4 linked regions of the Yarrowia lipolytica genome follow. The protein of the gene in region 1 binds, or shares a complex with, the protein of each later gene. Links are inferred from orthologs where the notes say so. Each region holds a gene or a part of one and is shown in the gene's direction. Other genes may lie near its edges. The genes, in order: YALI1_D15744g, YALI1_C23548g, YALI1_E28130g and YALI1_A21565g.

The links.
Region 2: YALI1_D15744g (region 1) and YALI1_C23548g share a complex: the UniProt entries of both Saccharomyces cerevisiae proteins name them as parts of the mitochondrial large ribosomal subunit. The link is inferred for Yarrowia lipolytica from reciprocal best matches to the Saccharomyces cerevisiae genes RML2 and MRPL28.
Region 3: YALI1_D15744g (region 1) and YALI1_E28130g share a complex: the UniProt entries of both Saccharomyces cerevisiae proteins name them as parts of the mitochondrial large ribosomal subunit. The link is inferred for Yarrowia lipolytica from reciprocal best matches to the Saccharomyces cerevisiae genes RML2 and MRPL22.
Region 4: YALI1_D15744g (region 1) and YALI1_A21565g share a complex: the UniProt entries of both Saccharomyces cerevisiae proteins name them as parts of the mitochondrial large ribosomal subunit. The link is inferred for Yarrowia lipolytica from reciprocal best matches to the Saccharomyces cerevisiae genes RML2 and MRPL40.

Annotation. Positions count from the first base shown.
Region 1 is NC_090773.1:1,571,731-1,578,049, forward strand, and holds YALI1_D15744g (mitochondrial 54S ribosomal protein uL2m), read left to right. Parts: upstream 1-2,730; coding exon 2,731-4,002; downstream 4,003-6,319. Other genes in the region: YALI1_D15696g (uncharacterized protein), read left to right, coding at 1-1,191; YALI1_D15734g (uncharacterized protein), read right to left, coding at 1,255-1,767, 2,304-2,435; YALI1_D15792g (uncharacterized protein), read right to left, coding at 4,913-6,319. UniProt on the Saccharomyces cerevisiae protein: Component of the mitochondrial ribosome (mitoribosome), a dedicated translation machinery responsible for the synthesis of mitochondrial genome-encoded proteins, including at least some of the essential transmembrane subunits of the mitochondrial respiratory chain.
Region 2 is NC_090772.1:2,351,809-2,357,677, reverse strand, and holds YALI1_C23548g (mitochondrial 54S ribosomal protein mL40), read left to right. Parts: upstream 1-2,823; coding exon 2,824-3,264; downstream 3,265-5,869. Other genes in the region: YALI1_C23563g (uncharacterized protein), read left to right, coding at 1,377-2,477; YALI1_C23526g (uncharacterized protein), read right to left, coding at 3,919-4,297, 5,026-5,069; YALI1_C23511g (uncharacterized protein), read right to left, coding at 5,629-5,789. UniProt on the Saccharomyces cerevisiae protein: Component of the mitochondrial ribosome (mitoribosome), a dedicated translation machinery responsible for the synthesis of mitochondrial genome-encoded proteins, including at least some of the essential transmembrane subunits of the mitochondrial respiratory chain.
Region 3 is NC_090774.1:2,810,340-2,816,553, reverse strand, and holds YALI1_E28130g (mitochondrial 54S ribosomal protein uL22m), read left to right. Parts: upstream 1-3,487; coding exon 3,488-4,366; downstream 4,367-6,214. Other genes in the region: YALI1_E28156g (uncharacterized protein), read right to left, coding at 292-796, 851-915; YALI1_E28150g (uncharacterized protein), read left to right, coding at 1,572-2,477; YALI1_E28107g (uncharacterized protein), read right to left, coding at 4,971-5,017, 5,402-5,549, 5,817-5,858. UniProt on the Saccharomyces cerevisiae protein: Component of the mitochondrial ribosome (mitoribosome), a dedicated translation machinery responsible for the synthesis of mitochondrial genome-encoded proteins, including at least some of the essential transmembrane subunits of the mitochondrial respiratory chain.
Region 4 is NC_090770.1:2,153,073-2,159,074, forward strand, and holds YALI1_A21565g (mitochondrial 54S ribosomal protein uL24m), read left to right. Parts: upstream 1-3,431; coding exon 3,432-4,337; downstream 4,338-6,002. Other genes in the region: YALI1_A21550g (uncharacterized protein), read right to left, coding at 1-1,925; YALI1_A21554g (uncharacterized protein), read left to right, coding at 2,270-2,819, 2,879-2,919. UniProt on the Saccharomyces cerevisiae protein: Component of the mitochondrial ribosome (mitoribosome), a dedicated translation machinery responsible for the synthesis of mitochondrial genome-encoded proteins, including at least some of the essential transmembrane subunits of the mitochondrial respiratory chain.

The DNA of each region.
Region 1 (6,319 bases):
GATGAGACTCGCACATCGCGTGCCTTCCAGATGGCTAATCCCCTTATCGTTCGAGACAAGCGTGAGTACGGAATTATTGGAGGTGCACCGCTGACATATCTACAAAGGGCCGCCAGTGAGGATGAAAAGCTGGATCTGTGGACGGAAACGAAATCCAAAGATGGCACACCTTTGGAGGGTGTTATTAAAGAGCTGTCTGATGATCCCTTGTTCTCAAGCAGATTCTGGACATCCTACAACAGAAATGTTGACAATAAGAGAGAGCGGAAAGACAAGAAGAATCCAGCCGTCAAGAATTTTCATCATGCAAAGCAGAAAATATCTCCCGAAGAATATCTTGAAAGCGTGGGTTTGAAGGTAGAGTCTGCTCCTACAGGAGCGCCTCAAAATCACCATTCGCAATTGGAGGCGGATTATCCAGTGAGTGACAAACCCACAATTGTCGGAACTGGCTCGTCCAAGTTGTCTTACCTGGTGTCCAAGACTCTTGTTCTTGTTAAAGATCACAAGATCATTGTTTTTTACGAAGACGTGGACTCAGCCGTCGCTGTTGCTGAGGCCTTTGAAGCAGTAGGGATCAAGCACCTCATTTACACGACAGACAAGGTTTCAAAGGAGAGACGCGCCCAGTATCTCGCCACGTTTGAAGCGACGGACAACTTCCAGGTACTTCTCATGAACATCAACGCTGCTGCGCATGGTCTCAACATCACCTCTGCCTCGTGGGTATTCTTTCTTTCTCCCGTGTGGAGACGAGACATCGAAGCTCAGGCTATCAAGCGAGCTCACCGTATTGGTCAAAAGTCGGAGGTGCACGTAGAGACCCTCGTACTCCAAGATACTCTGGAGGAAGATATTTATCGACGTCGAACGGAGATCTCAGATGCTAATGACGAAACCCCAAAGGAAATGGTTGACGACGACCAGCTGCGAGAAACGCTTCTCAACTACGCTTTAACATCCATGGAGAATCTTCACAAAGGAACGACAGACGAAGTCGCGTTCTTTGACAAGCCTGTCCCGCTGTATATCAAGGTCGATAAACACGACCAGTTTGAGAACTCTCTGGTTCACTTCGAGGGTCTGCCGGTGAGAAAGAAGAGGAAGAAGACTGTGGTTGCTGATGGATTTGCATCTTCCAAGAGGAGTAAGGGAAACTTGGTTAAAAAAGAAACTACTGCAAATAGATAGCATTTTTAATACTACAGAAGTCGAAGTAAGCGTATAACATTCAATCATTTAAATCATGTCTATTTAGATGGGCTCGCTAAGGACGTGGTTGAGTCGAGCAATCTTGGAGGCGACAGAGACGTCAACGGTTCGCTCAGCAACCTCGACAATGAGACCACCGAGGATATCGGGGTTAACCTTGAGGTTGAGCTTGAGCTCACCCTCACCAACGAAAGAAGAGCCAGCAATGGCGGCCTGGATTCGGTTGACGGTCTTCTTGTCGAGCTCGGAGGCAGAGGTGACGGTGGCCTCAACGAGACCCTTGGATGCGTTGACGAGAGTCTCGAACTTCTCAATGATACCGGGGATGAGAGCCAGTCGGTTGTTGTCGGAGATGACGGTCAGGAAGTTGGTGAGAGTCTTGTCTCCACCAACGGCCTGGGACAGGACGTTGACGACAGTCTGCTTGTCCTCGTGAGAGAGGGTGGGGTTAGAGACAATCTGGGCAACCTCGGGCTGCTGAGCGAACACGTCCCGCAGCTTGGCGAGAGAGCCCTCAGTCTTGGAGAGGTCAGACTCCTTGGCGGCGGCGGTGTACTGAGTTAGTAAATAGCAATAGAGATTGGAAGTGTTATCTGGAGTTGGCGTGTTGGGAATTGACGTCGAGCCTTGGAAGAATGTACGAAGTTGGCATGGGAAGAGGGATTGCGCATGTCGTCTTGTTACTCCATAGAGTGTGTGTTACCCCAACATTGAGCAATTAACCTACAGTGACGAGGTTACACGAGGTTACACGCAACAAAAAGGTTGACAAAACACGATATCGAGCTCTGAGAGCTGCTCAATTCGTCGTTAAATCAGCCAGCTGCATGTTGCCTCCCATTGATCCTTCCTCTCCTCCTCTCCCTTCCTGCATTATGTTGAGTAGTGTTGTGCTGGCCTCTACTACAGTACCACCATGATTGCATCCATCCACGTGTCAAGGGTATCATTCCAGTCGAATTGCATCTGCAACACGACCCATCAGGCCAATTCAGTTCTTGTCAATTCCTCGCTGTCGTCGTTTCCAATTGCACCGTTTCCTCCGGGAAAACCGTCCCCTCCATCCTTCCAAAAAACACAATTATACCCACCAGAGCAGTAGCGTAAGTACCGTCGAGGCCGAAGAGCTGGACGGGGACCTTGACAGGGGCGGCGGCCTTGGTGGCCATGGTTCGGGCCATGGGCCGCATGGACATCATTCGAATGGCTCGGGAAGCGAACATCTTGAGGTGTGGTGTTGTGTCTGAGCTGAACTGTGTCGATATGTACACGGGGGAGGAAAACGGGGCGCACCATTTTTCGGTTTGAGCCAATGGGCGTGCACGCTGGGTGGTAGCGTATTTCTGGGCACGCCTCCACACTATAGAGCCCGTACTTGTGGTACCGGTTGGGAGGAATCGTAAGCGGTAAATCAGGGTTGGGGTAGTGCAGGTGCGAAATTTCAAATCATATCACCGTGAACAAGGTGCCAAAAGCGAAAATACTAAACCTCCGTACCGTCGCCCCAACCTCGACAAAATGAACCGACTCGTCTCTCGACACCTGTCGGCCCGAATTGGACGTATCGGAGCGATCCAGCCGGCCATCTCGCTGGCTCCCTTGCGGGCCTTTTCGACCTTTCCCAGACTGCGACAGGAGCAGCAGCCCCCCGTGGCTGAGGACTCGTTTATCGACGAGGAGATCAAGGGCGCCACTCCCAAGCGTCAGCGGGTCCGACCCACTCGAATGAAGCCGTTTGTGGACTCGGAGGCCGCCATGTTTGCCCGAAACACCAGTGTCAGCGACATCACCTTGGTGCCCGAAACGGTCGATCTGACTGCTCTGGAAAAGCAGGATATCTACATGAAGAGCCAGCGCAAGATCACCAAGGCCGCCGTCAAGTTCAAGACCATGACTCCCATCTCGCCCTCCATGCGATGGTACAAGGCTGCCATCTACCCTTACCTGTGGAAGGGCAAGCCCCACCGGGCTCTGACTGTGGCCCGAAAGGCCCGAAACGGTCGGTGTAGCAACACTGGCCGAGTCGTGACTCGACACCAGGGTGGAGGACACCGACGACGAGTGCGGCTCATTGATTTCTTCCGACAGGAGACTGGAGAGTGCGAGGTTGTGCGGATCGAGCGAGACCCCAACCGAAGCGGCCACATTGCGCTCCTCAAGAACAAGGAGTCCGGCAACTTTTCCTACATCACTGCTCCCGAGGGTACTCGAGCCGGTGACACGGTGCAGTCGTTCCTCAACGGCATCCCCCAGAACATCATTGACGAGTTCCACGGCCAGACCGACCCCGCCATGTTGGCCTACCGACTGTGTCGAAAGGGCAACTGTCTGCCCATGTGGATGATCCCCGTGGGTACCGTCATCCACGCCATTTCCACCGAGCCCCACGGCAAGGCCAAGTTCTGCCGAGCTGCCGGAACCTACGGACGTCTCATTGGAAAGGAGCCCGCCAAGAACAAGGCCATCGTGCGAATGCAGAGTGGCGAAGAGCGATACGTGCATCTCAAGGCCTCGGCCACCATCGGTGTGGTGTCTGCTCCTGACCATCAGAACGAGTCGTTCGGAAAGGCCGGCAGATCGCGATGGAGAGGTATCCGACCCACCGTGCGAGGTGTAGCCATGAACGCCTGCGACCATCCCCACGGAGGTGGACGAGGAAAGTCCAAGGGTAACGTGACGTCGCGATCCATCTGGGGCGTGCTGGCCAAGCGATACAAGACCCGACGAGGCAAGCACCAGAACCCCAACAAGCTCAAGGATCGACCTCGATACAAGGAGCAGCGAAAGTAATGTATATAGTATAAGTGAACGGGACCGTATTGAACGAACGAACGAAAACGACTGACTCAAAAGAGTGACCAAAGTATGTACTGGTATGATCAGCTGCCATGGAACTGCAATATATATTGTTGAACCATCTATGTATGTTAACACAATCCATACATCAAGACAGAGGTATAATGTAGACAAAGCAGAGACACGGAACAGAGGGCTTCGTGCAAGTATGATACAACTACTTGTGCTGCACTCGTACCAGTATGGCGGTGGTGTAAGTGGTTGTTAATGTTGCACGTATCCAATCATGCTGAGCGAGCCCTGGAACGAAGAACGCTGCATCTAGTTACTTAGTTAAGATTGTTTGGTTGGTAATAGTTGGAGATAATTCATGCTGATGGTATACATTTCAGGGTTGCTGGCATGTTAGCAAGAAACAAATAGTATCATTACATACAGAATATACAAGATCTGAACAAATAAACGACAATATTTTGCTTTGTAATACTGTTATGCCTCAGTATTCCAGTTTGCAAGATGTGAGTTAGGTTTCGTTGGTTGACGCGTTGTTGGTGAATACTTATACCTTAACTATTAGTCAAGACACATCCTGCAAGTAGTCAGCCTTGAGCCGCGAATATGCCTACTACAGGATCAGAAAAGGCACATACAAGGCACACAAGACGCAATTCAGATACAGTATTCAAGGTGTCTGTCCATAGATATGTCTAGTCTTTATACTATATACGATACTCGTACTTCATGGACCAAACCCAAGCTGGCCCACTGTGTTCCCCTTTAAAAGTCTACATTCACCCAAAAACCCTAGCCCACTCAATAAAACCAATATATATTATAATACTTGAGAAGAACACTTCTCTTTTTTGAACCGAGCGTCGAGTTCATTTGAACCTCTCTTTTTCCTTTAGTGAGACTCATTCCAAGAGTTGGAAGTGGCAGCTTCAGGATGAGCCTCAGCAGGAGCACCTGGAGGAACAGAACCAGGGGCGCCTGCAGCAGTGCCAGCAGCAGCGCCAGCAGCAGCACCCCCTTCACCGTTCATCATCAGATATTGGTACCAGTCGCCAATATTGAGCGATTGAGGGGCGTATCCAAATCCACTGGCCGCGGTGGGCTCGTCCTCGGGCGACGACTTGTAGGTGCCGCCTTCGGTGTGGCTGGCTCCGTCGGCGTGGGCAAACATGTCCGGAGGAAGCGCGCTGGTGGCGGGCTCCTGGAGCTGCGACTGCAGGTTAGACATATCGCCAGTCACGTCGGGGAAAAGCTGCATGGGCTGGAACGACTCAAAGAAGGTGTTCGAAGCCGGCGGGGTGTTAGTGACAAAGTAAAAGTCCGGATGCGGGGTGCCGGGCTTGGATGGCAGCGTGCCGTTGAAAGGGGTGCCGGGATTTGTAGGAGGCTGTCTATCGCCCAGGTACTCCTCTCCTTCCTGCTGCGATTGCTGCTGCTGGTCAAACGCATGATTGTTGAACTTGCGTTCTGGCTGTGGCTGATGCGTCTGTTGTTGCTGTTGTGTGTGTTGCTGTTGTTGTTGCTGCTGCTGCTGCTGTTGCTGTCGAGCATGCTGCTGCTGTTGTTGTTGTTGCTGGGCATGTCGTTGCTGTTGGGCATGGTGCTGTTGGGCGCCATGTGGTGGTTGTGAAGCCTGGTGCTGAGCTTGAGGCATTTGCTGCTGCTTTGCTGCGTCGGGTTTGCTGACGCCTCTAGCATGACGTCGGATGGTCTTGGCCATGTGATTTCGAATGGGCTGCGACTCGTTCATGTGCTTGAAAAGCTTGAGCACCATTCGTGCCACCACCCACGTCTTGCCGCATTCCTCCAGGGCCTTCATACACACGTCCAGCGACCGGTTGGCAGACTCAACCACCGACGGCGACTTGGACTCGGTCTGGTACACAAGCATGATCATGGCCGAAAAGAGCGTGTACACCATGAACGCCGGGGTGTCACGCAGCTCGTTATACGCTAACATGTTCTCCATGATTTTGGCAATCATGTGAGCGGCCTGGAACGCGATACCCCACGAAGGGTATGCGCTCTCGTTAGCCTCTGACGTTCGCCGTTGCAGAATGTTGCTTCGGTGCACAAGACACAGAATCGTGTAGTATTGTGAGTGGAGCAGGGCCTTGTAGAAGTTGTGAGAGCCCATATCCTTGACGGAGTACTTGAGCTCCGGCGGCAGGTTGTTCATCCACGAGCCCATGGCCATGTCGCAGTGCGAGACGACGGGAATTCGGTTTAGTCGGTGCGAGTGCTCGGCACCCACACTGAATTGTTGTCGCAGAACAAGCCCCATGATTTCAGACAGCTT
Region 2 (5,869 bases), on another chromosome or scaffold:
CTTCAAGATATCGCTGATTGAAATAGCTTGAGCTTTAATACACGGCTTATACGGACCCGTAAAAGGGTTCTATGGATTATATTGGTCCATGCAAAGATATCTAACCCCATTGCTACTTTTTATCTTCAATTTCTTTCAATTATTCTCAACTATTTCTTTTTTCTGAATTTCCTGGAATAAATATCTATTCCATCTAAAGTTCACTCATAATCCTCCTATATTCACCTAAAATTTATCTAAAATCCACCTAAATTCACCTAAATTCCCCTAAAATCACCTAAATTCCCCTAAAATCACCTAAATTCACCTAAATTCCCCTAAATTCACCTAAATTCACCTAAATTCACCTAAAATCCATCTAAAGTCCACAATAATTTTTTAATTTTTTTAATTTCTTTTAAATATATATATTTCCCCTTTTTCCCCCTAAATGGAGCATTTACTTGTACTCATCATGGGTGACTTTATGAGAAAAAGGCGAGAATAGCAAAAAAAAAAAAAAAAATCAGAAAAAATCTGCAAGAATCAGAAAAAATCTGCAAGAATCAGAAAAAACAAACAAAAACAAAAACAAAAACAAACTCATATTCTCAAGACTTCTTAGTAACATTTCCCCCTCTTCCAAATCCTCTCCGTCGGCCACCAATATCGCCACTCATCCGCCACCATGTTTTGATTGCGTCACGTGCAAACTCTATAGTGCATATTTATATCTGGCTGACCACAGCTAGGTACCAGCCCGAAACGACTTGAAATCCTCTATATCTCGCCAATCACTTGCCCGAGGCTGTAAACACCTTCTCATGCTGTCGTTATCGGAGCTGGAAGCTCGATCATCCAAGGGAGTCCCCTCCCTGGTCGAGTTGGCCCGCAAAACATGCCAGAGGCACAGTCATCGTGAGTACACAATCGGAAAAGACACAAACGGGAGCTCGAGGTTGTGCGTGTAAAGCAGGTCAGAGCGTTCAGCAAGACCCCTTGGGGACTCCTGATTTGAACACAGGTTATGGACACGTCATTCAGGAGTCAGGGACGATTTGGTTAACCTTTGCTAGGTGAGAAGAGAATGGAAACGTGGAGGCCGAGACTGAGTCTCGCGAGCATGACGCCGTGTCATTTTGTGTGTCTGTCGACGCTCTTGGCCATTATATGCTCATTTGTGTCATCCTTGTGACACAGACTGAGTTGAACCGACCTCCGTTCTTGGTCCTGTGACTGGCTCTGGCTGTGAAGACAGGTTCTGAGGTTGTCTCTGTGCCACCGGCCAGGGTGTTCAGAACTAGTTGCTTCAAACCAAGCCATGTTCTCAACTAATCTCGCTGTCAGTGTGTCTGAGCTGCAACAATAAGCGGAAAAATGACCGGGATTCAGCTCAAATGTCGGTATGCTTCGATAGACAGCACCTCAGACTGTTACCCTTGGCGCCTCTGAACTATGCCACGGCCAGAACTGCTCCATGGGCTCTTTCCAACCTCCTAACACCCTGTAGGGTGTTGTCCACTCGTTACCCCGTACCTCCGACCACACTCATCACGGTTACTAACTCAGAAATCCAAGATATCGGCGATACGCCCTACCACTTGGTGGAGCCCATTCTCCGCAAGTTCAAGTGCCGCCAAATGCTCCACATTGAGTCCATCTCTCCACATATTGCACGCGACTCGGAACCAGTATGGAAGCACTTCATCGGTCGCGACTTTTCTGACCGCCCATTACCAAAAAAGAACTTCAAGGAAACATACCTGCGCTACCAGGAGGAAAAGGAGACTCGTTTGCGCGAGAGCAGTAATCGGCTCAAACGAAACATTGCACGTGAACAACAACGCAAGTCGGAAATCATGATCACCCAGTTGGACGTGGACCCGCGGGCTGAGTCTTCTCAGCGACGACAATACATTCAGCGAGCAAAGTCGTCTGTTGTGGGTCGATTGCGACTGGAAATGCGTTCCAAGGGCAGCATGTTTTCCCCCAGCAACCCCACATTTCTGGAAACGAACCGCAAGTCGTTTTTCGACCGCACAAACAGAAACCAACCACGTGACCCTACACGTGACCCCCAGCCCTCTGCGGGTCGTGATACCGTCCGTGTCAATGGAGGCTTCAATTCGGACCACCGCATTTCGTCCATTCCGGTTCCTGTTGAAGCCATGAGCACCACATCCTTGAAGCGACCTCTCAAACGGCCCACTCCCATGCCCAAAACAAACGCCATTGGACACTCGAGCGGCAGCGCCTCGCCTACCAAGGTGCAGCGGACAGATATGGGTATTTTCAGGCGTGGGCCTGGACCCGAGACTGCGCCAGTCGTCACTTCGACCACTCCACCACAATCTCCTCCCCCAATCAATCGGCACGTTTCCCCGCCTCTGCCACCCGCGCAAGCGCCTCCCCCGCCATCTGTACCACCACTAACCAGAGCTTCTCCTCCGCCTCGGCGACAGAAACCCAGCTCGATATTTATTACTAGAAAAAAGTAGATTATTTATTGTATTATACGAGTACGAGTGAGCGACAGCAAGCTCTGCTTACCAATCACAACCTAGTAATGTCTAGTACATACTGTACTGTATTAGTACGGGGACAGGTACAGGCTGTTTGAATGTCAGAATTCATGTTTGTATTGAGGAAGAATCGCGGAGTGACTGTTGCTGTATCTCTTTTCCTGGAACGACCTCCCTCGGAATCGAACCCCCAACAACTTCAATTTCAATTTTAAAAGTTGCCAGGTGCAAATCGAACTTACGGCCGCTGCATGTCCCCTTCTGCCAGCTGAAAAAATACCTGATCTGTGCAACACCACACCACACCACACACAAGACCACAATGTTTGGAACCGTGCGAACGACCTGTGTGGCTCGGCGGGTGCCCCAGCTGGCCCTGCGAACCAAGCGAACCAAGACGGCCAACGATCTGGACCCTGGAGCGCGAAAGCTCGTGAACCAGATGTCGGCCATGTCGCCCAAGCGAATGGCTCCCAAGAAGCTCGAGCTCAGCCAGGAGGATCTGATTCGACACCGAATCGTGCAGGTGGCGTGGCGAGAGGAGCGGCTGGCCGAAAAGCTGGCCCGAGAGCAGCAACACAGACAGCAGTATGAGATGCTGCAAGACACGTGCGAGGAACTGCGAAAGGTGGACGGATTCCTGTTCAACGCCGCCGTGCTGCGAGTCAAGGGCAACAAGTTCCCCATCGAAATGCGAGTGCCTACCGAGACTCCCCCCAACAAAATCTGGCAGTCTGAGTGGAAGGCCGAGGTGAAGAAGTAGTGGTGGACACCAACACAACAGGACGTTACACAACCCCACAGATGGTCCCACCACTAGGATAAAATGTACATAGCAAAAGGTATGATTGATTGATTGAGAGTGAGACACCAGTGCGGGAGTTTGAATGAGGCAGCTGGAGACCTAGGGCACTGGTGAGGGGCTGGAGACCTAGGACAGCGGTGAGGGTCATGGAGTTGCTTCTCAATGACGAAATGACTCCAAGCCTCGTACGAACAGCCCGTTATGCACAGGATTCGTATAGAGACAAGTCAGCTCCTGGTCACACATCATAACGAGTGCAAACGGAGGCATAGAAGATTGCAGTAGTAACCACGGCGCAAGTCCTTCTGTTATCGGTGTTACCCGCAGATCTGTAGAGTGGTACAGCTCTTAGAAGGAACGGAACTGAGAGTATTCTCGCAATGGAGTGCACATTCGTATCAAGAACCGCTCTATAGTACAACCGCGTCGCTACACTCCACGCGCCTCAATCATGACGTTAACTATATACACAAAACTAAACTCTGGTACCGCTTACTTGCATGCGATACTGTGCGACTCAGAAATGTTTCCCTGGAAGGACACACTAGGAAATTCTCGCCAGTGAAACATGTTTCTGGCCGGGGTGCAATTGCTATGCAATAATCACGCCCTCTACTTCTCCTCCTCCTGCTGACGGAAAGCAGCAGCTCGCTTTCGTCGCTCCTGGACCTCCAGGTCTCGTCGCTCGAGCTCCTCGATCCACAGCTTCTCTCGGTGTCGAGCAAGCATCTTTTCACGCTCCTTTTGCTCCAGCTTCTGCTTGGGGTCCTGGCCGTAGTACATAGCTCCTCCAATAAGGGCGGCCACAGTCAGACCCTGGAACGCCACTCGAGCAAAGAACATTCGGTTGGCCTGGCGCTTGTTACCCACTCGCAGGGCTCGCGCAGAGAGGATCAGAGCTCCACAGGTAGCAAGACAGCCAAGGGGGACAAGGGGCTGCTCCTTGCATCGCTCGAGAATCTTGTAGTATCCGGGAGACTTTTCGTTTTCGCTGGGTTAGTACAATGAAGTGAGTCAATGGAAAGCATCACACCATAGAATTCTCAGTCGAGAAGGTCGTGCAACGCTCAAATAGAGGGGCTGGGGAGGGTGCTTGGCTGCAATATGATGAGAGCTGCTTGACAGCCCAGTCAGCGAGAATAGAGCAGGTACAGGTTTTGGTAGCGAGGTAGAAGGAGAAAGGCTGAGTCAACTGTCAAAGACCACCGCGGCTTAAGAAGGTATCGTGAGCTGCTGGGTGTTTTTTTTCTGACGTCGGAGAAGTCCCTATCGTTTGGAGTGGTCTCATCCTATCACCGAAGCACGGTACTTGCGGTTGGTTCAATGACCAGGACTCCATTCGAAAAAGAGCTTGACGATATCAAATGACACAGGCCAACACCCAAGACCGAATCATAAGATAAGACCGCTATGGGTCTCGCTGTAGGATAACTACCCAAACATTGCTCTTCACTGTTCACCCCTTGTAGCAAGATATTGCCATTGAATATTCTCCTTCGCAACAGTGGCCAATTTGACAAGTCGGACCCGTTCGTATCGTTTTTCCCACCTCCATGTATCTCTCCGTCTGTGTGTCGCTGCCCATTCTTCCTGGTTTTGTCGTTTTACCGCCTGGTTCAAAGTTGCGTCACACGCCCGGTGTAATTTGCGTAATTCGCCACCCTCAATATAAATACCCCCGAATCCCCCCCGAAAATCCCCACTTTATTTCTTACTCACTCAATGCTGTTACCGTTATCGAAACTGGAAGGAAGGTCGGACATGTTGTGAGTGTTGTGCGAGTATGTGGTTGTGTGGTTATGTGGTGTGGAGAGGTGAAAGTTGGATGGGAGAGCCCACGGGAAAATTTATAGGGACAAAGTGGAGACATTTGAGGGCAGCAAGGGTGACTGGGAGCGGGTAACGTTTCCGGGCATTGAGCAAGTTTCCCCTTCCTATATTACGTAATCGCCCTTTTCGCTTCCAGAGATTGGCGCAACAGATTCCACAACGGTGCTCCATCTCAACTCGCGGCCAATTTTCCGTCAATTATAGTGCCATATGTAGTCTTGTGGCTGGTGTCGTGGCTGGAAAATAGACTTGTGGCGGTGACGAAAAGACATCAAACTTAGTGACAACTTTATTTTCAAGCCCTAACCTGGAGCTTAATTAGGTGGTGATAAATAATTAATTATAAATAGGGAAAATAGGAAAATAGGAAAATAAGGAAAAAACAATTTATTTATATATATATAATATATTTAATATTTTTTAAAATTTAAATAAATTGTAATAAAAAATCACTACGGAGAAATATACACTTTTTCTCGCACTGTACTCAAGCTACAGCCCACCCACTGATAATATGATGTGCTGTATTATACAAATAAAAAATCTGATCACGTCTGGAAAGACCTTCGCCAAGGTCTCCAAATATGACTCATGGGTTCGTAGCGGGGAAAAAATTACTCTCCAACAATAAACTGCTTGAACTGCTTGTAGGCCTTGTCGAGATCATCGTTAACAATGACAAGATCATGGGCTCCAGGCTCCTTGGAGTAGGCGAGCTCTCCCTCGGCAGCAG
Region 3 (6,214 bases), on another chromosome or scaffold:
CTTGAGATCTATTCTATCCATCTATGAAAATTATCGGGTTCGAAAACCACCTGGTTTCATATTCCTGACAGCTGGGTATACAACTCAGTTACCAAGTATTGTAAGTACTGTAGGTAGTACACACTCCATTCAACCCACATTCTCCTCCAGTTCAAGCACTTTGGTTCTTCTGCCGTGCACTGATGACTTAAAGACCCTCTTTTCGTCGTTTAGATGCAACTTTTCGACGTTTTCGACTTTCTCCTAGTCCAGTCTTGACTGTAGACGCTCCTCGCTCCTCGCTCCTCGTTCCTAATCAAACAAAAACAACCGTTCAGACACCTCTTTCACCACCAGATCCATGCCTGCGTCCAAATTGTACCCCGTGTACGCACTGCAGCCCATTATGGTGGTGTTGTGGCCCTCGGGGATCTGGTCGAGGTCCAGATGGCCGCTGATGCGTTCAACGGTCTTGTCCCGCTGATCTGGGTCCACCAGATCCAGCTTGTTGATCCAGATGAGCACTCCGGCTCCAACCAGTCGGTCCTCGTTGAGAATCGCTTGCAGCTCTTTGCGGCAATCGTGGAGTCGGTCGGTGGCACTGGCGTCTACCACCCAGATCATGAAGTCCGTCTTCTCAAAGTAGTTTCTCCAGAAAGGTCGCAGAGTCTTTTGGCCGCCAATGTCCCAGATGTTGAGCTTGTACTGGCCCCTTGTCACCGTGCGGATGTTGAAGCCCAGCGTCGGAGACACCTCGTTCACGTCCTCGTTGAGAATCTTCTTGACTATCGTCGTCTTGCCCGAGTTGTCCAGACCACTGTGTTAGTACTGTTCCCTCTCACACCCAGACACGTCGCTTCCTCTCACTCACAGCATGAGCACACGGATCTCCTTATCCTTGAGCTTTTGTTTCTTGATGATCGTGAGTAGCCCCATTTGTCATGTCGCCAGGAAGAGGAGTTGTGGTGGAGCACATGACAACTGCACAGGAGAGGTTGGTGACAAGTGAAGAGATCAAATTGGGCGATTGAGTCGAAGGACTATGGTTGGAGTGTTAGATGCGCCAAAGGAGGGTGGTAAAGCGATGAGTAGAAAGAAGAAGAAAAAAGAGGGGGAAAAAAAAAACAGGGGAAACACACCCCTTGCCGCGACGCACTTGCCGCACTCCCACTCTCTCTAAGTAGAACATCAACATAACAAGTCAAAGTAACACATAACAGCACATGAACGCCATCTAAACCACCCGTTCCTGGTACCAAAATGATCCTCTGTATCTGAGGAATCCATTTCTTTTATTCTTTAGTCGCCTGTGAGAATAATGGGCAAGTTACAGTCGAATCTATATTACGCTTACAAAGTACTGGATGAACCGCAGAGTGTGTGAACATGTATCACAATATCTCTTCTGTCTACCAAATTCGCCAATCTCCTTTCCCCAATCGACAAAACCTCAATATCAGCCAACCTCAATATCCAACTCACCCCGCTATATAATGTATCATATTAAGGTTTATGCATACTGCACCAAGCATGCATACGCGGTCTCAATATATACCTCATCTCATATATAATTACGGCATATCGACCCAGCTATGACGGGATGGATATATTTGCACCAGGCGTTGCGGCTGCTTACGCCGTATCCGCAGGCCGTTCTCAACAACAAACGGTCGTCGGTGGCTGGCTTTTCGCTCGACTACGGACTCTGGGCGTTCGTGGGGGCGGTGTGTCATTTCGTCTTCACCCTCACATACATCAACAGCGATCTGGTCCATCGGCAGTTTGTGCAGAGATACCCGTTAGCGTTTGATATGCCCAGCGCGTCCGGGGTGATTGCCCTAATTGACTTGAACGAGTCATTGGTGTGGGGCGTGTGTGCTGTGCAGGCGTGGTATTCATACAGACACACCCAGACCAATGCGCAGTCGTGGTCTCTGGAATGCAAGGTGATTATGGGTCTTTTTTTCGGCGTGCTTGTGTTCCTGCTGATGGCGGTCAAGTCCCATCCCTTTGCAAAGGTGCCCTCGCCTCCTGGAGTCGGCTATCTGGGTATCAAGTTCATTGACGTGGTGGACTGGCTTGGAATCATCGGAGACTTCAGCGTCTACGCCCGTTACGTGCCGCAGGTGTCGTGCAACTGGACGGTGCAGAGCTGTGTGGGCTCGTCGTTTTTGCTCATTGTGCTGGATCTGGCGGGCGCGTTTTTCGGGATTCTCGACGTTCTGGGCGCCAAAAAGGCCAAGCCCACCAAGGAGAGAAACCGAAACAAAGTCGTGCGGGCCGTGCGTCCCTCGGGTCTCTTTTGGGCATGCTGGTTCCGCTTTTTCTGGGATCTCGTTCTGCTCTACCAGCAGGTGAAATACAAGGGATGTCGTCCTCTGGTCAAGAGGAAGTACGTGAAGCCCGTGGACGTGGAAGTGATGGGAGAAGAAGACGACAGCGATGAGGGCCATCGACTGTTGCGTTCGGGCGAGGTGGAACTGAGAGACATGGCGTGACCGTGAGGATAGAAAATCGTGATACACTGCATTTACATATTTAATGATTATGACATGAGAGGGTAGAGAGAGTGGACACTGCAAATCTCAAAGAGCACTGTAGTCGTTGTATTCGGACCCACGCCAGACACACTTGTCAACTAAACATTCAAGTAAAGTATCAGCTTGAAATCACATAACTGTGTCGAATGGGCGAGTTTGTAACAGAAATATCATGTCAATAGTATATATCGGAGACTGTGTGACACTGCTCTACAGTTTTATACGCTTTTTTCTCTACGAAAGCAACTGGAGCACCAGACAGAAACCCATCACAACTTCTTCTTTCAACTAAAAGTCAACTAAAAAAGACCATGCTATATGTCTCGGTTGCGGGCTTCCAGACACCATGAGAGAGATACAAGTGTCAAGAGCGAAGAATCTGAGACAGCTGTTTCGGTTGTGTCTTCTCACGTGATCTTACATTGCTTACTAATCCAGTACCAATAATAACCACTCTGTTGGCTGTGTATACTAAATCATGTCAATATATCCGAGTATATATAGAGAGGAGGTGTCTACTGAAACAAGTAATGATAGTAGAGATATTCAAAAGACAGAATTAATACATACGTAGACCCCAGGATAACCAAAAACCGTGCTCTTCATCAACATATTAACAATTCTAAAAGTGCATACAAGAATGAACACAACCTGGAATCGAACCCACGGGACCCGACACCACTCTCCAGACTACTGCATGGGTTGAAGAAAGGATGGGGATTGAAGAATGAGGTGATTATTGGTGTTGTTCGACCGACTTATGTGTAAACGAGGACAAGATTCCTTCCTACAACCACTTATATCGCTCCTAACTCCGATTCGGCTCCGACAGTATACTCTTGTCTCACGGTTGTTGCAGTTTCTCCCGTTTAGGTTGACTCTCTGTTAACCCGTACCCTGAAAAATCTATCTCCAGTTGACGCATCACCATACGAGCCCTCACTGACCGTATAACAGCACACACAACCATGCTGTGGAAGAAGATGTTTGGCAAAAGCGTGGCGCCGGCCTCCCGGCTGGTTGCCCTGCGGCCGTTCCACTCTACCGCCGCGCGATCCAACGACTGGTTCGGCAGCATGACAGAAAACAAGGAGTCCATCAAGCAGGATCTGGACAAGGCGACGGCAAACAAGAGATCCAAGGAGGTCGAGCAGAACGCCGACGAGACCAAGGGCAAGCTGCCATCGTTCAAAAACGACACCAAGCTGCAGGAGTACATTGCCGAGCAAAAGGGCGAGGCGGAGGTGGGTATTGCAAAGTACGGCACCGCCCTCAAGCAGCGGCTGTGGGACGCCTACCAGAGCCAGCACAAGGGCTACGACAAGACCAAAAAGGTGTCTGTCGACGGCCGGGAGTACCAGATGGTGCTGTCGCCCAACGAGATCAAGGCGTTCGAGCCCTCTGTCTACTGCAAGTCGTACCGAATCGACGGCACCTGGAAGAAGGCCCAGCTGCTGCTGCGAATGCTGCGTAAGATGAACGTGCGTGAGGCCATCACTCAGTGCCAGTTTTCTGCCAAGCGAATGGGCCGACCCGTTGCTGAGCTGCTCCAGCGAGGAGTCAGCGCCGCCAAGGACATGAACATTGACCCCGAGACTCTGTACATTGACGAGATCTGGGTCGGCTCGGACCCCCGAAAGTTCCGGTTCGTGGACCCGAAGGGCCGAGGACGAGCCGGCATGAAACACGCCGAGTACATCCACATCCGGGCTATTCTGCGAACCCCCGTGACCCAGCAGCGAGAGGCCCGTGACAAGGAGTACAAGCGCCTGGCCAAGAAGCCCGTGTTCCAGCACGAGACCCGAAAGGTGGGAGATGGGTACCTCAAGTCTGACTACCGATGGTAATGTATATAGCTAGGGCGAGTGACGAGCATAGCGCGTTGCTCGAACGAAATGAACAAAATGAGTAACCGATGAGCGAATAGCGTGCGAAACGAGTTGTTAGTTCTTAACGAGTAAGCCACCGAAGAATGAGTAACAGAAGTAGCAGCAACGGGGTAGCAGCTGGAACATATCAGGTGACGAGATCGCTTCCATGAAACAGGTGAAGATGATCTAAGAGCTCAGAGGAACGAGTACTGTATGTACCAGTTGATATGTAAATGACGAAGGGCTGTGCTTAGACAGTAGAATACACTAATCATCTGTCGAACATAATCTCGGAGAAGAGGTGTTGGTCATACGTCTGCACTTGCACCTACTTGTCAGGACATTTATATGAATGGAACAGTGTGATCTGGAGTTCTGACTATTAACATCTAGAAGTACGAGTATATATGTACTGTTCCAAGATACACCTTCCGAACGACTCCAACTTGTCGGGTGGTCGTTGGTACTCCATCATGAAGTGTTGCGGCAGGTTGGGCTACAGTCCAATTGTACCGACCATCTTCCTCCAAGTGCCGTCCCTCGGTCTGTGCAACTTATAAGTCTAATGAATTCATGCTATTTACTCGTCATCGAAGCCAGTGAGCTGCTCTCGAGCACGCTGGGGGACTCGGTTAGTATAGTAAAAATGGGGTGCAGTGGAGGCTGACGGTATGAGCCGATGACCGCAGGGCCTGCGACTCAGACCGTAGAAGCTCAGTAGTCTGGTCAGTTGATCTAGTCGACTGCAGTCTGATTCGGTTGATTGAGGTAGTCATGGTGGCTTGGGATCAGCTCGTCCAGTTACCAGACAGACCAATCACAGAACAATCACAGAAAATCACAGACAATCACAGACAATCCACAGACAATCCACAGACAATCACAAGACAAATCACAGACAATCACAAACATCACAGACCAATCACAGACTATCACAGACCATCAGACAGACTGGCAGTTTTGTCAACCACCGACGTCCATTGCAACGCAACAACTCTTAATAATACTCACGAGGATATGATTGGGGAAGGGGGCTGTGATCGGGGTAAAGGTACTTTCTTCGTAGAGGAGTCAGTGTGAGCGCGGCGACAGGGCCGGCGATTCCAATGGCGAAGGCGAAGAAGAGATGGGGTCGGTTATGAGCAGACCATCGAAGGTACTGGGTTGTGTTAGTGGGGCTCAGACGGAGTCAGTCTCTACATAGTCTGCAGACATCTCGGTGACGTGGCACAAACGAAAGACCCGAGAGTGAATCAGCTGTTCATTCCATTCATATGGTCGTTCCATTCATACGGTCATTCGTTCCACCCACCACGTCTCTTTGGTGTTGGGGTCACCTTGTGTCGATTGACATAGCCATTTCTGGGTGTGTTTACGGCCAGGCCGCGGCGTTTTGTGCTCTCGAAACCCGCTGCGCGATACTCACTCGAAAGGGGCCGTTCCAGAAGCCGGGGTTAGCGTTGATCATTGTCGAGTGTCCGTTTGTGTCTCGTTTCCCTGATATTGGATTTTGGGCGACAAATGCACAGTGGTGGTTTTGGCTTTTAGTTACCCTCGTCGTGATTGGCCCGTGGGCTGGATCTGCTTAGTAAGCTGGGAGGAAAAATTCAGGTGAATTTACGGGAATTGAATGGTTAAATAGGAGGAATAAATGGGGAAATACGAAGCGAATTAATGAGCAGGGAGACAGAGAAAAGTCCTCAATAAAAATAAAAAACAAGAAAAATAGTAAAATAAGATAAAACAAATAAAAATATAAATATAAACAAATAAATAAAATAAACACCTACCAAACTCCCTACCGCCTCAACATCACATGACGTC
Region 4 (6,002 bases), on another chromosome or scaffold:
GGAACTCGAGCAGTCTTGTCTTGGTTATCGATCCAGTACTTCAATTTGGAAAGAGAATTGGCACAGCTCCTGTGCCCGAGCTGTTTGAGTAACAGAATAGACACACGTGTGTGTATAGCCAGTTTAGACATGTCCAAGTAGGTTCTGTTGTAGTCTGTTTGTGTAGATAGAAAGTCGTCAAAGGTCTGAATGAATACAGGAACCATGTTCACAGCTTCGTCCACAAGCAGGGCCCCCTCGCTGACAGTATCGATGTAGGAGTTCACCGATTGCTCCAGCTGCTCAGACTCTCCATGTAGAAACGGCGCATCGACATCTGGACGCCATTCTAGCAGAGTAGCTAGAGTGTGTGCCAGGGCAGAGACGTGAGCTAGTTTTAGAGCTAACCGTAGTTGCTGCTCCTCCACAGATGTCTCATCGTAATCTGCACCCAGAATCGTCTCAACTATGATAGACAGTAAGGCCGCTGTACGCTTAAATCGCAAATGCGCAGAAACAACCACATCCACATCGCTTCCTGGAATAGTGATGGGACTCTCCGCTGCCGTCAGAAAGTAATGCCAGATAGCCAGCTTGTCCAAAGCCTGTTGAGATGACAGCTTTTCCATTTCCAAAGCAATCTCTTGGTTGCGTGTAGATGCCACTGAGGATTGGAGTTTCTGGTTCATCTCCATGACTGTCTTTACATGCGACACCATGGACTCGTTGTCGTGCTGTTTTTCACGGTGTTTTGTCTCCCACAATTCAATCTCGGCTTGCAAGTCTGCTACAACCTCTCGAAATCTCATGACGCTCTGTTCAAGGTTCTGTTGGCGATTATGTGCATCGTTGGTTCGTTTCTCGGCGTGATTCAGCTCAGATTCCAGATAGGCGATTTCCTGGTGAAGTTGCTTCTGTGTGGCTACGTGACCTGCCTCTAACTCATCATTCAGCTCCTTAAGCTCCTCCAGCTCGGCCACTGTAGCCTGCAGCTTCTCCACTGACTCTGTAAGAGCCAGGTTTTTCTCCGTCAGAGAATCGATCAGCGTCTCGGACACCATGACATCATCCAGCTGGGCTCTCAGTTCATGTAGGGTAGCCTGGGTTTCCTCAAGCCGCTTCTCAGAGCTTTCCAGCTGCGATTGAGTCAATGAATAGTCTGTAAGTTTGGAGTTCAGTTGCTTGATCTGTTCATTGAGAGATGCCTCCTGAGCCGTAGAGTAGTCTCGTAGACTCACAAGAGCCGCTTCAAGCTGGGCGTTTCGTTGAATGGCAGCCTCATCAGCTGAGTCGATTCTCTCCGAAGGCACGTTGAGCTCTTGTCGCAGTTCCTCCATTTCTCGTTTGGCAATCTCCAGCTTTTCTTCTGCCATTTCTCTGTCAAGAGTAGCCATCTCCAAAGCGTCTTCGTGCTGTTCCAGCTTCACCTTGGCATGGGCATGTTCATTGGAAGTCTTGGTGAGATCGGCGCGTAGCTGCTTGACCTCGTCACTCAGGGGACGCAGTTTACTCTCCAGCTTGGCGACAATTGTCTCGAGTTTCTTTTTTTCACGCAAATCTGTCTGAAGTTGCTGAATTTGTTCTCGCTCAAGCTTTCTTTTGCTATCTGTGACACGTAGCTTGGCCTTGAGACTCTCCACCTGCTTGGCCAAAGCTGTAGACGAGTCTGAGACGTCTGACATGGCCGACTGGGGTCGTTGAGACGGTCTAGGCACCTCTGGAGGCGGCATGAGGTCTGCGTCTGTCTCCACTTGTGGTCGTCTCACAAACTTTCCCGATGTTCCTTTGCATTCAAAGTACCGAACTCCCTGGACGCTGCCGTCATTGTTTCCCTGTCCCTCAACCATTTCCACTCCAATCCACTCTCCCGTGGAGAACTGAGTGGGTCCGATGAATCGGACGTGCGCCGGCACTCCCTTGACCCGCACGCGATCTCCGACTTTCATGTGTGCAAGTATCGTACAGTAGCAGTGGTGCTCGTGATGTGTCGCAGTGTCGTGGAGGTAGATATTCGGACTGCATGCCGACGGTAAATGAAATATCCTAAATTTGTTAGTTAGTTAGTTAGCATAGTTAAGTACTTCTGGTAGCTATAACACCCTATAAAATAACGGCCCGACACGTGATTTTGGCGTACTAAATTCTATGTAGTTTTCTCGCCCATATCAACTTCCAAATCGACTCTTCAGGACCTCACTTTTGCTACTTGTAGATATGATTATTCTGCATTCGCCATCTATAAACAAATCCCATCCACCAACCTACATTACAATACATGTATGCGTAGACAATGCACAACGAGTTTAGGCTAAAACGCGTCTCGTTTATTCCCACAACCTATCACCACAGTACAAACACAACCCCCACAATCACCATAATGCAGTCGGCACGACGAAAACAGACGGCGTTCCCCTCTCGGGGCGTGGCTGCCACCAAGCGAGAATTATCTGCGGATCAACGACAAGAGATCCAGGAGGCCTTCGACCTGTTCGATGCCCATCAGAACCGAGCTCTGGACTTTCATACCCTCAGAGCAGCCATGCGAGCACTCGGCTTCGAGCTCAAGAAGGCTGAGGTGCTGCAGATTCTGGACGAGAACGACACGACACAGCAGGGCGTGATGACGTGGGAGGCGTTTGAGCAGGTTATGACACAGATGATTCTGGACCGAGACCCGCTGGAGGAGGTCAAGCGGGCCTTCCAGCTGTTTGACGAGGACAACACCGGTATTATCACTATCAAAAACCTGCGAAAGGTGGCCCGAGAACTCAACGAAAATATCGACGAGAGTGAACTGCAGGCCATGATTGAGGAGTTTGACCTTGACCAGGATGGAGGAAGTGAGTATGAGTGAAAGAGAGCTGATGGAGCATCACAAAGAAGAAGTCTACTAACACAGTCAATCTCGAGGAATTCATCGCCATTTGTACCGAAAACTAGCTTATTTAATCTAATGTATTTTTATCATCCACAGCTGGTGGAATTGTGTGGATGTACATGTGTTTAACGTATTAATTAAGTCTAATGCCATATACCGTATTTGAAGCATCCTTTATGTCTATTGCTGATCTTTATGATCGACCTACAAGTACTGTAGAAGTAGTTTGGTGGTATCCTTGGTTTTTGTCAGTCTTCTTACATAAGCAAACATGACAAGTCCCAGTGATATCTTCGGTGACATAAATAGAGTTTGGGAGAGGTAAAAAGTGCACGTGACGTCAAATTTTCGACGGCAACGATGACCACAAAATCAAGACTCCAGAGTGTATGAAAATCCGTAAATCAATGTGAAATAACCCGCTCTATATTTCCCACCTACTTCCTTTTTCTCAGCTCTCTCTGTGCGCCAATGAAATCGATCTGATGTTCATTTCTCTCGAACCCTCCCAACAGGGCAAGGGCCTGAAATTTTCATTTTCATCAGAACTCATACAAACCACCACCCTCACACAATGAGACCTACGCGGACGGTACTGAAATCGAGGTTCATCCACGACCCCAAGACCATCTACCCTCGGGTCCGTGTGGATCGGATCCAGCGGGCCACTCTCAAAAAGGCCCCCAAGTTCCAGCAGGTTCTGGCCAGCCATGCCGTTCCCGAGTGGGAGCGATTCACCAAGGAGAGCCAATGGCACTTTATGCCCGGCGACAAGGTCCAGATCCTGGCTGGCCCCGACAAGGGCAAGGTGTCTCAGATCATGGCTCGACACGAGGAGGGAAACTCTTACCTGGTTGATGGAGTCAACGGTACTCAGACCTTCCCAATTCCTCCTGCTATGGCCCAGGAAGGACAGACCACCCACGTGATCGAGTTCCCCAACCCTCTGAAGCAGTCGGAGCTGCGTCTGGTGGCCCAGCGACCTGAGGAGGACGGTACCACCACCGAGGTTGCTATTGCTGCCGTGGAGTGCGTGGGAACCTACTACGACCCTGCCTACAAGCGAGTGCTCCCCCGACGAGTCATGGCCCACGATCACAAGACCCAGGTGCCATGGCCCGCTCCTCTCGAGCCTGTCGAGCATGTGGAGGGCTCTACCGAGCGAGATGTGGCTCGAGAACGAACCCACTGGGTCACTTCTCTGGTCAAGCCTCCTTTCCCCATCGGAGCTCTGCCCGACATTCGAAACGTGCACCACAAGCGATTCAAGCGATTCTCCGAGCGAGAGGTCGATCTCCTCACAGCCCCCAAGCCCTTCATCCCCAAGGGCACCCCCGAGCTTTTCGCTCGACCCCAGCACAAGAAGCCTGAGAACAAGCTCACTGCTGAGATGGAGGCCTTCATTGGCAACGTCATGCAGAAGCACGCTGACGCCCAGGTGGGCCAGCATGACCGAGTCAAGGGCCTCAAGTATAAATAGTGTATATAGTAGCATGATAGCAATTTTCTGACTTGAAGAGCGTATGTAGGCCGTGAGTACGCTCTAGACCTGATGGCCTGACGTCGTCAAGTAACCTCGTTGTCGCGGACCGCGAGACCACGAAACCACGAAACCACGAGTTCTCCGGACCTATTTATCGTAATGAAATAGAGACATCTTGATCGTAGGCTTTTTTATGATCTCTGGACTACAAATCGCCCGCGGCCGTGTAGTCTAGTAAAGGAAGGATACTTGTATCGAAAAAGCGTACAGTAACAAGTTACTACTTGTAGTGGGTGCATAGTAGGTAAACCAGTCTAAAGTGTGTCTTCATAGGTGTCTCTTCGTCAACCCTTCGATGCACTCGAGAATGAAGTACAAGTAGTACAGAACTTGTAGAGTGATGAGCTCATGCACATGCCTTGTCTCGAGTATGAGGGTGTAAGCAGTGGTCTATCTGATAGTGGAGCAAGTAGAATGACTAAATTCTCAGATATCGTTTATCTCTAATCCATCTTACTAAATTCCAAGTCCGGCCAAATCTTCCTACTTTTTTCACGTACTTTTCATTATTGTATAGTAGTTACTCCTCAACTACCATCGGGAATTCCAACTATAAGAAGTGGACTACGACCACGCCCTCCAGACTCCATCCCTCACCTCTCAACTTCAAAACTGCTTATGTAAGAGGCTACCCAACAGCCCAGCAAAGAAATATGAGCTTAGACACTCATAAGTCTTCGTCTTGGACCTCTGTCTAACTCATTAGTAGTCAAAGCCTCTGTCTCAGAAACAATAACAGCCGTAGACTTGCTAACTACAGCACATTCTATATGAGTAACGTGCTTGTAACGTATTGGTAAATACTTGTAGAAAATGAACTACCGCCCAAACATGTTGTCCCCTCAGACTTTCACGTAATACGGTCTCGCGTCGCCCGGTCTGACCCTTACCTTCCCAGTCTGAAGTCAACCTCAAACTGCCCAATTTGCGAGTAGCTAATCTTGAACAGGGCGATCTACATCACCAGGTTGCCATAATATGTAATTCATATAGAATTCGCAACTGTCGAGCGAGTCTGAAGGTGGGCGGCTAAAATCATGGCTATGTTGCCAAGAGGTCTCACAAAACCAAAATTAACAAGTCCTGGCGTGCAACCACATTTGAATCTCTCTCTACTTGTAGGCTTGAAAACCATACAAGCGCTGCTTGCCGAAACCACCATCGCCACATAGTAGAGACAAACCCGTGGGCTGTTAAATTACCACCGCCTCGACACGTCGCGGTTGCGCTTGTAGCGCCCTTGACGTCTTACTCCTACAAGCACCTACGGTAATTACACGTCTCAATCCGTCTGTTTTCGGACAGACTCCAGGCTGTGTTTGGAAAGACAGATGCCAAAAAAAGTTTGCCCGTCAAAACCTTTGCCTGACCCACATGGTAACACTAAATTGAAGCAGGCCACTGAGATAAAGGAAGTGAGTAGAGTAGCAGTACTCGCAGCAAGAATGAGAACCTGGTTCATATGTTTTTGATTACTAAGTGGTACCAGGTGATTAGCTCTGTTTCATGTGCCCGTTCTGACCCCACTGATGACTAGCTACTGTCTCCCATGCACCAACTCTTTGTTTGCTCAAAATGAAACGTTCCATGCACAGGACACGG